Linked DNA regions of Callithrix jacchus. The protein of the gene in region 1 interacts with the protein of each later gene in a pairwise test. Links are inferred from orthologs where the notes say so. Each region holds a gene or a part of one and is shown on either strand. Other genes may lie near its edges.

Evidence for each region. The genes of interacting proteins can lie anywhere in the genome.
Region 2: the proteins of CRYAB (region 1) and LBH interact in a two-hybrid assay, tested with the Homo sapiens proteins (2 studies listed by BioGRID, with this or other methods). The link is inferred for Callithrix jacchus from reciprocal best matches to the Homo sapiens genes CRYAB and LBH.
Region 3: the proteins of CRYAB (region 1) and CRYGC interact in binary tests that used the Homo sapiens proteins (3 or more experiments, as listed by UniProt). The link is inferred for Callithrix jacchus from reciprocal best matches to the Homo sapiens genes CRYAB and CRYGC.
Region 4: the proteins of CRYAB (region 1) and CRYBB2 interact in a two-hybrid assay, tested with the Homo sapiens proteins (2 studies listed by BioGRID and IntAct). The link is inferred for Callithrix jacchus from reciprocal best matches to the Homo sapiens genes CRYAB and CRYBB2.

Annotation. Positions count from the first base shown.
Region 1 is NC_133511.1:11,616,957-11,620,923, forward strand, and holds the start of CRYAB (alpha-crystallin B chain), read right to left. Parts: upstream 2,804-3,967; 5' UTR 2,758-2,803; coding exon 2,557-2,757; intron 1,686-2,556; exon of another isoform or gene 1,552-1,685; coding exon of another isoform or gene 1,516-1,551; intron 1,442-1,515; coding exon 1,319-1,441; intron 1-1,318. Other genes in the region: uncharacterized protein LOC118145697, read right to left, coding at 2,898-2,955; HSPB2 (heat shock protein beta-2), read left to right, coding at 3,841-3,934. UniProt on the Homo sapiens protein: May contribute to the transparency and refractive index of the lens. Has chaperone-like activity, preventing aggregation of various proteins under a wide range of stress conditions.
Region 2 is NC_133515.1:83,282,422-83,286,520, reverse strand, and holds the start of LBH (protein LBH), read right to left. Parts: upstream 2,810-4,099; 5' UTR 2,602-2,809; coding exon 2,576-2,601; intron 1-2,575. UniProt on the Homo sapiens protein: Transcriptional activator which may act in mitogen-activated protein kinase signaling pathway.
Region 3 is NC_133507.1:129,616,129-129,619,722, forward strand, and holds CRYGC (gamma-crystallin C), read right to left. Parts: upstream 2,425-3,594; 5' UTR 2,367-2,424; coding exon 2,181-2,366; intron 2,084-2,180; coding exon 1,841-2,083; intron 850-1,840; coding exon 577-849; 3' UTR 510-576; downstream 1-509. UniProt on the Homo sapiens protein: Crystallins are the dominant structural components of the vertebrate eye lens.
Region 4 is NC_133502.1:196,163,294-196,167,328, forward strand, and holds the start of CRYBB2 (beta-crystallin B2), read left to right. Parts: upstream 1-1,226; 5' UTR 1,227-1,254; intron 1,255-2,979; 5' UTR 2,980-3,005; coding exon 3,006-3,059; intron 3,060-4,035. UniProt on the Homo sapiens protein: Crystallins are the dominant structural components of the vertebrate eye lens.

The DNA.
Region 1 (3,967 bases):
GAGAATGAGGAAAGAGGCAGAGAAATAAAAACAGGAAATATTATCACCTGCCCAGAACTCAAGCATCCCGATTTCCCCTTAGGTGAGACCAGATGCCATGACAACATAGGAAGAATAAATAATTCTTTGTTTCAGGTTTGGAGTTAAGATGAAGTTGCCTAGGTAGAGTCATTCCTACCAGTGAGAATCTGAGAAGTCTGAAACAGCCCAATACATCATTGTTTTTCAAACCCAGAGGCATAGACATGTTTAGGGGTATTTCCCAAAGGTTTAGATCAAATTCTGTTGGCTGGGCCTACAGAATTTGGAATCTCATTTAGAATCTGAGTCCCTGAGGAAACCCGGAAATTGTCCTGACTCTTCAGGAATGTCCCAGAATGTTCCAGAACAATAGGACTGCTGCAAAAAAAAAAAAAGAAGAAGAAGAAGAAAAATGACTCCATCCAAGGAGACTATAACCCAAACCTAAATCATATGAGCAAAATGGAAACAGCTCGAGGACGTTACTAAGGACAAACTGTACTAGTTGATGCACAGGTTCTGAGCTATCATTAATTGGTAAGAAACAATTTTAAAGCCCTCTCACAAAGTCATGAGAAGCTGTTCCATTCGTCAGAATTCCCACAAAGGGTAGGTGACCTTTACCCGTATGCCTGCCGACTCTCAAGCATGTAACCAAACAGGCTCTCATTAACTGATTTCCACATAGGCTACAGGGGGACTGAAGACTGAAATTTAGACAAACCAAGTGGTTCAGCATTAAGATGGACTAAAGATGAAACGTGGATTCTTGCACAAGTAAAGAGAAGTCACAACTCAAGAGCCTTCAGGGTACATGTAGTTAATGTAATTATGCAAAGCAACTAGGTGTCTTACAACCCTAACCCTAAATCGGTGGTTCTCAACCTTGACTGTAGATTAGAATCACCTTAAAAAATGCTGATGTCTGGGTCCCATCCCTAAAAATTCTGACTGAATTGGTCTGGGGTATGCCTGAGCATTAGGATTTTTGAAAGTTCCCCTGGTGATTCTAATGTGGCCGAGATTCAGAACCACTGGCCTTGATGGGGCATCAGCATCCCATCTAAGGTGATCAAATAAAACAAAAGCCGCATCTCTGGCCATAACAACAGTCATGACAGCAGTAGGTCTCTCCCTAACTTAGTCTTCCAGACATTGATTTGTAAGCCCTGATCCAGACCGTTATGGCTTGGGACTGGAATGTAGCCAGCCTCCGAAGCTGAGAGCTCTACTGAGACTATTACAGTATGCACTGAATGAATGAGCAGAAAACAAAAACCAAAAACAAGCTACATACCTGGCGCTCTTCATGTTTGCCATGCACCTCAATCACATCTCCCAGCACCTTAACTTTGAGTTCCTCTGGGGAGAAGTGCTTCACATCCAGGTTGACAGAGAACCTGTCCTTCTCCAGGCGCATCTAAAAATAGCAAGGTAAGAGAATGGGGTTGGAAAAAGATGGCAAAAATACTAATTATACTGGTGCTGTCTTACCATTCTGCAGAGTTGCTTTCTGTCCAGGTAATTCATCCTTCTTTTTTCTGCTTAAAGAAAATCGCCTTTTTAAATAAACACGGCTCTCTGCTTCAGGGAGCCACCATAGTGATACCTAAGGCTCGTGGTGATCAGACCTAAACTTTATTTCCAGGGACAGAGAAGAAGACAGATCACCCAGGGGACCAGTCACAAAGATGGGTGCAGGCCTGGCATCTGCTGCCTCTCTGACTCCAATGCCTGGCTTTGTGGTTTGTCTGTGAGACAAAGGCCTTTCTTCTTCTTGCTCAGGTCTCTTTGCCAGTTTTCCACCCACCCAATCTGGAATGTTCTGCTGGTCCTGCTTGTCCTTCCAAAGCCCTTGCCCACTCAGGTCCTGTTTACTCACACTCAAATATTTTTAAACCAGAGTGTTATCTGTAACAGCTTCGGTCAACCTTATTTGTTCACCCTTTTCTCCCACCCTCTCAGGACAAGTGGGGGATCCCAAGACTAGACCTATATTGTTTCCTCATAAGGCTTGGTTGGACCCAGGCCAGTGCTCTGTCACAGCCTTAAGGGACCCAGAAAATCCTAGAAGAAGGAATAGAAAGGCAGAAAATAGTGGTGGTTGGCCCCAGCTCCACCCAGTGGGGATGAACAGCTCAGGATGAGGCAGGGCTCTCTCCTGGCTCTGAAACCTGAGATGGTAAAATTGGTCAAGAGTCTGAGGTGTTAGAAGAGATGAGTAAAGGAGTTCGAAGGCAGCTCTTTCCCTGCAGATCGTTATGAACCAAACTAGAAAGGGGTATCCTGCAGAGAGAAGTTAGGGGACAGAGGATGAACTCGACGGTGCATAGAAAAATGTAATAAATGGGATACAGAGGACCATCAAATAGAAATAGCTGACAGGGGAGGAAGGCACTAGCAACCTCATTTTTCTTCACTTTTGGACACACATGTGCCTAAAATTGTTTAGGCAGGGAAGGAAAGAAAAATGGATGGAGAAGTTTCCAGGATGTTCCAGTAAGGACTCTCCCATCCTGGGAGGGGAAGACTCACCTCTGAGAGTCCAGTGTCAAACCAGCTTGGTGCCCGCAGGAAAGAGGGTGGCCGAAGGTAGAAGGGGCTCAGGGAAGTAGATGTTGGGAAAAGATCAGACTCCAACAGGTGCTCTCCGAAGAACTGGTCAAAGAGGCGGCTGGGGGAGTGGAAAGGAAAGAAGGGGCGGCGGATCCAGGGGTGGTGGATGGCGATGTCCATGGTGGCTAGGTGAGTGTTGGGGGTCAGCTGGCTGGTCAGCTCCTTCAGCTGCAGCTACAGCCAGCCCCTTATATATGCGGTCTTGTGAAGCTTCTGGAATGGTGATGTCAGGGGTTTTATTATCCTAGCTCACTGCCGGTTCATGGAGACTTGTGATCGGGGATTTGGCAGTGTGACACATACCCAGTACTCACTGAGCTAAGAAAAGAGAAACACAAACACGTCTGAGCTGGCCAGTGACTTGTCATGGTCTTGTTTCACTAGCTTTCTGTCCACACCCAATGGGCACCCACCCCCACCCCTGTTCTCTGAAGCTGGGACAGAGTCAGGAATCCCAAGCAGGCATAGGGGGGTGTGCCCCTCCTCCTCCTCTCCAGTCCTGCATGCCAAGGGAATCAGGCCAGCAACTATCTTGGGCCTGGGCAGGGACTGGAATCTTCCTAGGCTGGGCCCCAGGGACATTAACTCTTTGTGAGTCCTTAGAAGAGAGCAGTGATGGTCAACATGTCAGTACCAGCCATCTGCCTCGTGCCCTGGGTTGACCTGGGTTCAGGGGAGGACCCTGACATCTGGGCAGAAAGACCTCACCCCTGAAGAAAGAGCAAAAGACTTCTTGCATCTTTCATCCTATGTGGCTCTCAGAACATTAATTAAATCCAGGAGAGCTTTAGGAATTTATTGGGTGCACAGTGCCTGCCACTGAGGAGGAGGAAATGTGCTGTGGAAACGTGGAAACCGTTCGTGAGGGTCTCAGCAAGGCCTCTTCATGTCCTAGACACCACTAGCTCCCCCTCCCCAGCTTGTTCCCAGCCAGGACCTTCAGCTGTCCTCTCAGACCCCCTGCAACAGCTGAAGTGTTCGGGGGAGGGGACTAGGGGTCCGGGCGGCACTGGTTACACCCTGTTGCTCTCACTGAGGGCCCCCACTCCCCACCCCTCCCCCGCAGAGGCACGGCACTATTTTGGGTGGTGTCGACCCCGCCCCCACCTCCTATTGAGCCCTAGCTCTCCCGGCAGCTGGAGGGGTCGCGCTGCGTCTGTTGGGGCTGCACCTCGGACCAGGGCTTCCGCTGCTTCTGCAGCCATGTCGGGCCGCTCAGTGCCACATGCCCACCCAGCCACCGCCGAGTACGAATTTGCCAACCCGAGTCGCCTGGGTGAGCAGCGCTTTGGAGAAGGTATGGCACAGACGCCACCCCCTTGCCTCCCAC
Region 2 (4,099 bases), on another chromosome or scaffold:
TTCATGCATTCGCTGCTGTGGGATCAGGGGACTGTCTGGAGACAGGATGAGAGGTGTTCAAAACAGAACTTGCAGAAAAACAAGCTCACACCCGGAGGAAGCGCCTTGCAAGCCCACAGCCCCAGGACTCAGCCCCAGCGGATAAAGCCCATTGTCTGCAGACCTCTGTCTGCAGACCTCTCTGGCAAACCTCCTCTTCCTCCCCTGTACTCTAGTCCCCACTGGGACAGAAGGACCCTGAATGTTCTTTTAAATGACAGAACTAGAGAAGCAAAAACAGTAGGTAGCTGAGTCCATCTGTCTATATTAAAACCAATTCAACCACATCTCCCTTCACCTCTCCAACCAAGAATAAAAATAATCCTCACATAAATTTTCCAAAGGGAAACTATATGTTATTATATAACATTTAATTACAACAACAGGGTCAACTGGAGGAAAACAAAGTCCAATCATATGGCCTTCCTAAATGTCTGTCTCTCTGGTGCTCTTTTTGGCAAAATGTTCCACTTAAAGCCCCAAGGGGTCAGCTTTTCTGCAAGTTTCACATCTGCCATCCAACCCCTTTCTCTAGCCCGAGCCATAGCAGCTGCTTGCTCACAGCTTGAAAAACATCCCCTGGATTAAAAGCCTTAAGGATACCCGACTCTGATTGCAAAGGAAATTTCCAGAGGGGCCAAGCTGGCCCACCAATGGCTGCCATGTGAAAGGGCTTTGTACTCTTTAAGCAGGATACAAATGTTCCATTATCCCTGCACAAGCCCTGGGCACATACGGGATCCCGTGCACATAACACTGAACGTTCGCAGCAAATCCAGGTACCCGCGACACAGCACCCAATGCTTTCACATTCGTGCCTGTGCACATGGTTTAAAACAAAAATGTGGGGAAGGCTTTTGAGGGACGCTATCTAAGGAAACAGGGGTACCAGATTCCTCTTTACTGTAAGGTTACTACATAGACAAGAAATGACGCTGGATTTAGAAACAGAAGCAATAGAGTCTAGGCTCTGCCCCTCAAGAGCTGTTTGATCTTGAACAAGTCCTGTAACTTCTCTGAGCCACAAGTGTCCTGTTTGTTACTCTGATGCTAATAGTGCATACCTCACAGTTAAGGACTAATGTCTCCACAAAAGCATTGCAAGCTACAAAGCGCTAATTGATGAAATCATCTTAACCTTAAATTTCTCATAATACGCCTAATATGCCCAAACACCCACCTTGGCACATTTTGAGCAGCCAAAGCCACAAAGCCTCCAACAGCCTTCAAATCCTCACCTGGAATAAGGCACCAAGCTGCTCGGACACTATGGCAGAGGCAAGGGAGGGGCGCCCACAAGAAGGGCACACAAGCGTCGGTGTGGGGGAACTTGAACTGCTGAGAGAGGGAAGTTTAGCCCCTCTCTAAACACTGCTAGGCTGGGATGGGGGCAGGGAGACTAAGAGAAGATGGGGCTCTTTGGTGCAAGTTTAGGTTCCGGAGCCGGGCCCTGCAAAGGCAGTTTCCGCCTGGGTCCTGGAAAGGCTGCTGTCGACCCCCAAAGAAAGGTGCCAGAAGACCGCTCATAGGGCGAAGAGCCTGACTTAGGGGCGCTCTATCCTCGCTCGGGGCTGTAGCGCTGGACCGAAAAGTTGAAGCGAGAAGCATGAACTTTCCGCTTCCTGGGCCAGGCCCGACCGCGCCGAGGTTTGAGCCCGCTTTCCCTTCGCTCAGCGCCTGCCAGCTACTCGGGGCCGAGCTCCCCACGTCCGCACCTGAGAGCGCGCTCCGGGGCCGCTAGCGCTCGCCCCCGGCCGCTTCTCTTCTAACCCAGGGCAGGAAGGAAGAAACCGCCGGCGAGGAAGTCCCAGCAGCCAGGGGCCTGCCTGCCTCTCTCCGCACCCTTCCCGGCTCCGATCCCCAGTCCGTGGCAAAACTCCGACGCCCCGAGCCCGGCCGGGGTTCTTTCCAGCTCAGCACCGCGAAGGCGGCTCCTCCCTGCCCCGGCCCCCACCAAGGTGCATCGGTTTTTAGGGGCTACGGAGAAGGCAGGGGTGGAGAGGCTGCAGCCTGTGCCCTGCTGCTTGCGGCTTTAGCGGGGTTACGTGTAGGGAGAGCGTTTCCCGCCCCCCAACCCCCGGAGCTCTGCAAACCCCGCGGCTGCAGCAGCTCAGCCCCGCTGCAGCCGGCCTCGACGCCGAGACTTGCATGCAAACAAAAAGAAAAAGAGGAGGGGCCGGGGAAGAGCAGGAGCCCCCCTGCGCCAGGAGGCGCGCGCCTCCTGCAGCCCTCCGCAGAGGGGGTTTCACTGAGGGGATTCACACGTGACCCCTGGCTCCCCCACCAACCAATACAAACCCTCCGGCCGTCACTTAGGTGAGGGCTCCGAGTTCACGTCCTTTGTCTGGATGTTCTCAGCACCCCCCTCCCCCCACCCCCACCTTTGCAACCTTGACGTTGACTCCTGCACTGGCTCTGGCGGCCGGTTAGCGCCAAGCGCCCGCGCCGCCGGCTGCCCTCGCACACGGAGCCGGCACAAAGCAGGCGCCCGGGCCCGCGGTCACCGCCACGAGACGGACGCCCGCAGCGTACTCACCAGTGAAAGGGGAAATATATAGACATGAAGTCCTAGGGGAGGCTGACCCACGCCCCTGTGATTTAAAAGCTGTCCCTGCGTCCCAAGCGAGGATGACACGGGAGCACACGGGCACGGCAGGTGGCCGAGTGCGGGCACCGGGTGTTCGCCGTCCGCCTTCCCAGGACAGTCCCACGGCCAGCGGTGTCGGCGAGGCGGACACAACTCCCAGCTCTCCACTGAGCTCTTGGCCCCACAAAGAGCCCGGGAAGCAGTATTTATAGGGGAGGGGGCGGAGCTTGGCCCCGAGAGGCCCCGCCCTCCGTCGCCCACTCCTGGAATAACGTCACCAAAATCATGAATGGCTTCAGCGCTCGCAGCTCCGGCGGGTGACGGCTCGGGGGCGCGCTCGGCTCTGCTCCCGGGGACTTGGTTCGCTGCGGCTGCGAGCCCGGCCCCCTTCCGCCACTCTCCCACGCGCACACGCGCTCACTAGCACCCTGCCGCGAGTCCGCGTCCGCGGGGGGGATGGACGCGGGGTGGGCGCGAGGAGGGCGCGGGGGCCGCTCCGGACGTGACCGCTCGGCGGCTGCGCTGCGCGGAGGGAGGGCGCCAGCCACTCCTCCACCCCAGCCGCCAGGCGCCAGCGCCCCCCTTCCCACCCACTGGCTCTCCCCAGCTCGCACCTCGGGACCCCTCTGAAGCGTTTGTCCCCCGGACTAGGCCCCTCCCTGGAATCCTCGCCCGCAGCCTCGGGATCAGCGTGGGGAAACAAGAGCATAAAGAAGCGATGGGAAGGTGGGAGAGACGCGGAGCCGGGGGACAGTCGTTCTAGGTAGGGTTTTTCCATTGGAGACACACACACATTCGCACGGTCTGCAGCTGGGCAGGGGGTGCGGGCGGGCAGCGTCCACGCCGCCCCCAGTCCTTAACTCCCACGTCTTCTCCGAGGAGTCGCTCATGAAAGCAGAAACAAAGAGCTTCAGCCGAACGCCTCCCACACTGCCCAGGAATTGCAGCTCCAGGGGTCTGTCCAGGCAAAGCTGCGCAGCCCCCCAGAGCCCGATGACGGGAGCGGACCCAGCGCTGCCCCTCTGTGGCCTCTGCTTCAATTACGCCTGTAAAATGGCTTTAGAACCCTGACCTACTTGTGTGTATAGAGGCTGGGGAAAGGGGGCGCGGGGCGATCAAAAACTAAGCAAAATTAAATCGGCTTTAAGTTAATCAGCTCTTTAAAAGAAAGGCAGTGAGTGTACTGAATCCGTATATATGTGCTTGAAAGTGGAAACGTATAGCTTATCTCATGCAAAAGAATGACAGAATTGATGGTGAGGGTTCAAGGGGTAGGACCCTGAAGGAAGCCAGGAGAGAAGACCCTCATAATTTTCATCAGCCCCCGCAAAACCAACAAAACAAAAATAGTAAGAATTGACAAGAATAATTTTATTTAGAAATAACTTGGCTATTTTCAATCACTTATATGTCTATATGTACAATCTGAGTAAAAATAGTGGGCTTCCTATGAAAATGCATCTTGATGACAAG
Region 3 (3,594 bases), on another chromosome or scaffold:
AGCTGCAGTCCTGGACAGGAGCCATTTTCAAACAAAGACGAATGGTCTTTAACTTTGTTCAAAGGTATGTCATTGGCCAGGGTGGCCCTGGCATTAGTTATAAAATACCGTGCCTGAGAGTAACAAAACGACAATCCTTTATATAGTCTAATCAGGCTATTGGCCAAGTTAAGTTTGCTCTCACCACTCATCTGACTTTACCCTTTGTCTGACCCACATTTTGGGTCACAAGGAAACTTCTGAACTCTTGTTCCTCAAGGTGCTTAGTTGAATGCCTCTCTTCTCGCCAGCCAGCCTCCGCCAGCTCTCTGGCATTGCCTTGCCTTTTGTTTCTCAGGCAGGTGACACCCTGCTTCCACCCCAAATTCCGAGCCTTGTTCAAACTCATTCTACCTTGAAGCTCTTCTCCAACAGACGCTGCTTTCATCTCCATTCACTACTTAACTTTTAACAAGGAGCATTTAAAGGTGAACTGATTTGCACAATGAAAGAAAGACAGAAGTCAGCAATTGCCAACAATGCAGACTAAATACTTTATTAGGTTCCAAAGTGGGAAATTGGGAGTGTCAAGCTATTTTAGTATAAATCCACCACTTTCCGCAAAGAGCCTGCCTTAGCATCCATGGCCCCCCAGTCCTGGCACCGCCTGTACTCTTGGGGCCTCAGCAGGAACTGCCGCCCCCGGTAGTTGGGCAGCTCGTAGAGGACCCAGCAGCCCTCCAGCACGTGGAGGGAACGGATCTCGCTGAGGTGGAAGCGGTCCTGGATGCTGGGGCAGTCCTCACTCAGCTCCATCATGAGGCCTTTGTGGTCTTCTCTCTCATACAGCCGCAGCCTGTGGGAGCCTGTCTACTCAGTCCACAGAAAGCAGGATGGAAAAAAGCAAATGAGTCTCTTTTAGAATTTGTTCAACCAAAGAACAGATGAACTTGGTATGTTGGGGCATGGAATTGTCCATGTAAAATTTAGACAATGTAAAACGTAGCAGATTGCTGTGATGCTGTGCGTGGATCTATCTTCTGCTAGCACTTAAATACTGGCCTGCTCATTTTCTATTTGACCTGCACTTTGGACCTGAAATTCATTCTTATTCAGGAGACGGAATTTTTAAGAGGTTCAAACTCTGAGTTGGAAACCATCAAGAACTCAAATATCTTGATTCCTAATTACCTGTGTTAATTCAAACTACATTTGGGGGAAAAATAGAAATAATTTATTTTGACTAGCATTCTTCTAGTAAGAATATTATCTCTCAAATTTATAAACATATAAATTTACCACTAAAGTAAAATTTTAAAAATCTTGTACTTTGGTGTAAAGTTAATTTAAATAGTCATTTGGAAAGAGAATTTAACTGATTTTCCAAATTAAGAAAAATTACCTTTTCCAAAGTGGGATACACCTTTGGCTAGCCTATATTAACAATACAGTTGTGAAGGTTTACTTACTAGTCCACAATGGAACCTATCTAATTCATTCATCAGAAATTCCTTTACAATAGGCAAAACAATTTGTTAAAAATACTGTCTTTGTATGCCCAATCAGCTTCCCGTTTGCAAGTTTTGTTTTATATCACATTATGGTATATTACATTTGTTACAGGCCATTTTTGATTGACTTATCGGTAGCAAAAATTTAAAGGAAAACAGATCCTTCCTCTAAGTGCGTTCTTCCTTATATTCTCTGCTGTTTTTGTGCGTGTTCTCTATCTGGCTTCTGCAGGTGTTCAATGTCCTTCCAGCCCTTAGGTGTTTTTAAATGCAAACCTCCCTCCGCCTAATCCACATTGACAATGCAGTGCGGACACTCCGGCAGCAGGATCGAAATCTAGAAAACTCACCTGGGGGATGAGACAACAGGAGCGGATGGAGTCGCTGAGGCCCATCCATTGCTGGTAGTCAGGATACTCCCCGCGCCGCAGCAAGTACTGGTGACCTTGGTAGTTGGGGCGCTCATAAAGCATCCAGCAGCCGCTCTCCACCCGGATGGAGTTGCAGCGGCTGAAATAGGTCTGCAGGTTGGGGCAGTCGGTAGTGCACTCGTAGCTGCGGCCCTGGAAGGCCCTGTCTTCGAAGAAGGTGATCTGCAAAGGAAGAATCATTCCGAGTTACATTATTTGCTCCTAACAGGTATTATATAAAGGCAGTTTTTTTCATTTTATTTAATTGTGTTCTGCTCACCTTCCCCATGGCTGGTGAAGACGGATGATGCAAGCTCAGTGCGATGGGGCCGCAAAGTTCAGTGTGATGGTGCCTGTGGCCGCGCAGCCAGCCTATATAGCAGGGTGGCTGCTGCGTTGGCAAGAATAACACAAAAGGGGCCCTCGGCAGTAAGGGGATTTTATGCATCCCTTTAACATGCTGCATTCACTGGAAATGACTGTAGATTGTGTCCTTGTTCTCTGGCATATTCTAAAGCTGTCCTGTACATTACTGCTCTGCGTTGCTTTTATTTGGATTCTTAGTGTTTTCTAAATTTATCTGTGCATCAGTCTGCACTTTCGGCGTGAAATTCGTGACTCTCCCTATGTGATTCAATTATTCTCTGTGAATTTTCTGGGAAAGATCTATGTCATTATAGAATCTCTCCAGGATTCCAGAGAGGTTGTTGAGGTAGAACGCCACAAGCACTGACTCATTTCGCTGGATGGCAGAGACTGCTCTATCTTACATTTTTGTCTTTACACAATTTTGCAGTCCAGTGCAGGACATAAATCTAGATTCTTATCTCGGCTAGTTTTGACTTTGTTAACTCAATGCTTTAAGACAGCTCTTAACTTTGCCTTTCATGGGTGCATGTCATGTAACTAGAAATCAGGCCTTGGTAGTGAATTTGTAATAACACGCAAGGGAAAGGTTTCTGTGGTCACTGCACCCAAGACTCAGAAGTACCGTATACTGCTTTATAGATCGCTTTCCCTTTTTCAAGCTTGCGGGAGGTCATAAAGCTTCACAGGCAAGAGTGTGAGCTTTGGACTCAGGCCGCCTGTACTCGGAAGGCCCACTGATTAGCTGCATGGTAAATAGCATAACCACTTGAGTTATCTCGTGGACTATAGTCTGATTAACGAGGAAAAAAAAAGTGAGAAAAAAGAGCAGCCTCTGACACTCGGATGCTGCCTTGCACTCACAGTGAGGACATGTTATTCCCCTATTAGACATAAACAGTCTCACAGCATAACAACTTCGGACAAGACTACTCCAAGACCATGATGAAATGAGATAAAGTAAAGCCACTTCCTAGCTTTGTCCAAGCCCAGACCAAAACAAAGTCAATGCTCCACTCTCAAAATCCCAAGCCCCACTCTCTCAGCCAAAATGACTAACTGCTACTTCTTTATGAATCACAGGTTTATCCGTGTTCTAGTCTCCCCTCCCTACGGGTAAGATTTCTTGAGATAAGTAATCACAGAATTAATCCTGCTTTCTGCTAACATCTGATCTAGAGTGAATTCCAGCTTTTTTAGCTCCTTTCCTAAATCACACAACTAAAGTGCAAATCCTATAACAATTTCTTCCTAAGCCCTCTTACTGAGACATTCCACGCTTCCCCAAGGAGCATGTTCTCCCTTGCTGTAACAAGTAATAAATCCAA
Region 4 (4,035 bases), on another chromosome or scaffold:
AGACACAACCTGGGCTGCAAAGGTTTGTGCACTTAAGAAGCGTGAATAAAGGCTGGGCACCCATGTGGCAGTGATGGGGCCAGCGGTAGGGATGTAGGAGCCTCTTACTCTAGGACAGTGGTTAAGAAATGGGCTGGGTGTGGTGGCTCACGCCTGTAATCCTAGCACTTTAGGAGGCCAAGGCAGGCGGATTGCCTGAGCTCAGGAGTTCAAGACTACCCTGGGCAACATGGCGAAACCCCATCTTTACTAAAATACAAAATAAATAAATAAACATTTAGCAGGATGTGGTGGCATACACCTGTAGTCCCAGCTACTAGGGAAGCTGAGACAGGAGAATCACCTGAACCTGGGAGCAGAGGTTGCAGTGAGCCGAGATTGCACCACTGCACTCCAGCCTAGGCGACAGAGGAGATTCTGTCTCAAAAAAAGAAAGAAAAGAAAAAAGAACAAAAGAAACAGCCAGGGGCCTGGAGAATGAACTGTGCTCTCCACAGTGGCCCTCCCTGGTCCTGCCACATCAGGCCCCTGCCCGCCTTGGCCACCTGGCACAGGCCCTATTTGTCACATGCCATGCTTTAGCTATGTTAACCTGTTTTCAGGTCTTGAAATACACCATGCAGGTTCCTTATCTGTGGGCCCTTCCTGCTTGGAACTTTCCTCCCACCCTGTTCCCAGGCTTCTTCCTCTTCTCCATCCCTGAGGGATGTGCTACCTCCCAGTAGCTTTTCTGAATGGCGCAGGCTGGGGTAGGTCCTCTTCCAGACCTTCCCTAGAACTCTGCTTGGCGCCGAGTGGATGCCCGGCAAATATTCATTGAATAAATAAATGGGTAGATGAATGAAACCCAGGCTCAGCCAAATCACCCTTCTTTACTTATTCTTCCTCAAGCCCACTGAGATTCTCTTCTGTCTGCCATGCCTCGGGGCCTGACTGACCATACCAGTGAACCCGGCGTGCCCCGGCCCTGGCAGCCGGATGGCTGATGCATACAAAGTGGGCATCTCCTTGCCTAGCCGCCTGACTGCCCTGGCGCGGCCGAATCTGAAAGCTAATGACATTATTGTGCAGAGACACAATGTCTGTGAGCATTTGCTGACCCAAGCTTCGGTGGGAGCTTAAGCCGGCATTCTCACCCTGCTTTTCGCAGGAATGCAGCAGTCACTCATCTTGGCACTGACACTTCTGGGGAAGGTATAAATGCCACCTCCCACCGGCCGAGCTTCACGGCACTCGCAGGGACTGGTGTCGCTGGTAAGATCGCCTCTCTTTCGTGTCTCCCCTTCTTTCTCTCATCCTAATCCCTGTCAGAAAGCATGGGAACACCCGCCACTTTCTGACAGGGTGATTTGGGCAGAGACTTTGATGCTGTCAGCCTCAGTTTTATTTTCTGGTAAATGGGGAGAGGGGTTTTAAAAAAGCCTTCTTTGTTGTGTGGATTCAAGAGAAGGTAGGTGAATCATCCGGCACAGTGCCCGGCACATAGTGGGTACTGGGGCAACGTTCTTTATTATTAATATTCAACGGACTACCAGTGTCCTTGTTTTGCCAGCCACTGAGGAGGAGAATGTAGCTGAGAGTTTTGCAAGAATCAAATCAGTGACAGTTCAGCATCGTTTCTAGGTGGGTGAGTCAGTTCTCCACATCTGCAATTACGGGGCGCCCCCTCGTGCCCAGTCTCTGGGAGCACTAGGGGATAGGACATAGCCCCAGGTACGTGAGCGCTCCAGCAGCAGGTGATTTTAATGCCACTGAAGCGAGGTAGCAATGACTGTAATAATGCCACAGTTGCTGTCATTTGCTGCATGCGGAGTCTGGGACCATGGCCAAGTGCTTCCGGTCTGATGCGTTACATAGTCGCATCCTCACAACCTGTTCACAGGTATTATTAGACATCGTGACTGCCCCATGTCACAGAACAGGAAGTTGAGGCATCGGGAGGGGAATTGACCTGCGCAGAGTCTCAAGTTTGGTAGGCAGCAGAGACAGCTCCTGAACTGGACCAAATGAGCTTCTTCAGCCTGCGGACGCTCAGGACTGGGAAGTGGGCTGGTGGGACCTCAGGCCCTCTGATAAGCCCAGGGGGCTGGTTTCTTGTGGGAGAGCAGTAGGTTTGGTTCCCAGGTCACTTAACTGAATTTCCTCCTTCTGGGACACATCCAGTCTTGGCCTTTGACATGGAAGGGGCTTCTGGAAGCTGGGCATTATCTCTGAAGAGGGAGGCCGGGCTTCCTCTCTTACCCCTGGGGAAACACAGGTTGGCCACCCCTCCAGCAGGAAGCGGGAAGAGGCTGACAATTTTCCAGATTTTTCTGATGTTCTCACTAGCTACAGCAGGTCTACCTGGCTGCCTGCCACAGTGCCTGGATTTCTACCATCGCACCCACTTCTTCCCTTTCTTGTAACATTAGTTCTGTAGAGACAATTTCACTAGTGGGGGAGTAAAACCAGTGGCAGAGAAGAGAAATCCAGGTACTGGGATGGGGAGATGAGTCCCAGGGAGAGGTGGGGGAAGGAGCAGGAGCACGGGAAACTTTGCGAGTTCCTAAACTGGGAGCCACCACCACACCAAATACAGGCAATGCATAGGTTTTGTTTGTTTCACACCATTTTCTTAAATTATTTCTGCATAAAGGCAGAAGTTATGGGATTGACAGATCTATATTCTGTGTGGTATCTGTTGTCTGGGGTTGAGTGACGGGGACCCCCTTGGGACCTGATTTAAGCTCTAGTTGATCACAGCCCGTTTTTTGCGTAGACCTCATTTTTCCCTCCTTCTGGAGCTGGCCTGGATACAAATAAATGAAGCTAAGGACAGAAGTTCAAGTAGCTGCTTTCGGACCCCACAGCTCTGAACCGGCTGAAACCAGGGTGGAAAGAAGACTGTTTGGGGCCAGAGAGGAGTAGTCCCCAGGCCCTACAGAGTGAAAAAGCCAATGGCCCCTCCAGGTCCTCAGTGCTGCTTCCCGTGTCTTCCAGGTCATTCCTGCAGAGGACCGTCCACCATGGCCTCGGACCACCAGACCCAGGCGGGCAAGCCACAGTCCCTCAACCCCAAGGTGGGTACCTCTCGGAGGAGGGGCGTGCAATGCTCCTCTCCCAGGCTTAGTCACCCTTCTGTAAAAGGGGCCTGGCATCTTTCTTCATGGGTCCCTCCTCTCCACCCCTGCCCCCTCTCTGGGACTCAGTCTCTCCTACCCACACACTTGGGGCTGATTCTGAAGGTCCCTTCTCAGCCCATAGCCAGCATGCTGGGATTCCCAGCACCAGCTTCCAGCTTTGGAGACTTCAGTTTCTCTCCCTTACCTGCTTTCCCACACCCTTTTGACAATAGGGCTCTCTGAAATTGGAGCAGACCCTCATCCTCAGTCAGAGATGGGATTTGTAGACAGAAATGGGCTGTGAGTCCTCGCTCTGCACCTGCTGTGTGATCCTGGCCAATTATTTGATCTTTCTGAGCCTCAGTTACATCTCTGTAAAGTGGGGAGGGTCAGATTTATTGCATAGGCAAGTTGTAAGAGGCAAAGAAACCAGGCTCAGCTTAACACCCAGCCTGGGGTGTGCATTCACCTAACGCCAGCAAATAATGGCTTCTTTTATTTCTCATCCACCTGCCCTCCCAAGGGTGGCAGGATCTTATCCCAACATCAGAGGCTTGTCACACTCAGTCTGCCCTCAAACCTCTATCGAGGAGCGCCCACCTGGCTGCCCTCCTGTGCTTCGCCGTTTTGGTAGCCCTGGGCACTGGTTCCATCAGGAATGGCCCCTTTGTCTGATTTGGTGCCTCCTGGGCCAGTGAACCCTGAGTGGATGCAGCTCCTCTCCTGCTCACCCCAATCTGTCCCTTATGGGTCTTACTTTACAGAAGAACAGAAAATAAACAAATGAATATATGATTTCCAGTAGTGAGAAGTGCTACAAATAAATGTAAACCAGGGGAAGGAGTTCCTGAGAGTCGGAATGGTTGTGTTAGCTCAGGTGGTCCAGGAGGGCCTCTCTGAGGAGGTGACTTTGAGCAGACACCTGGGTCAAGGG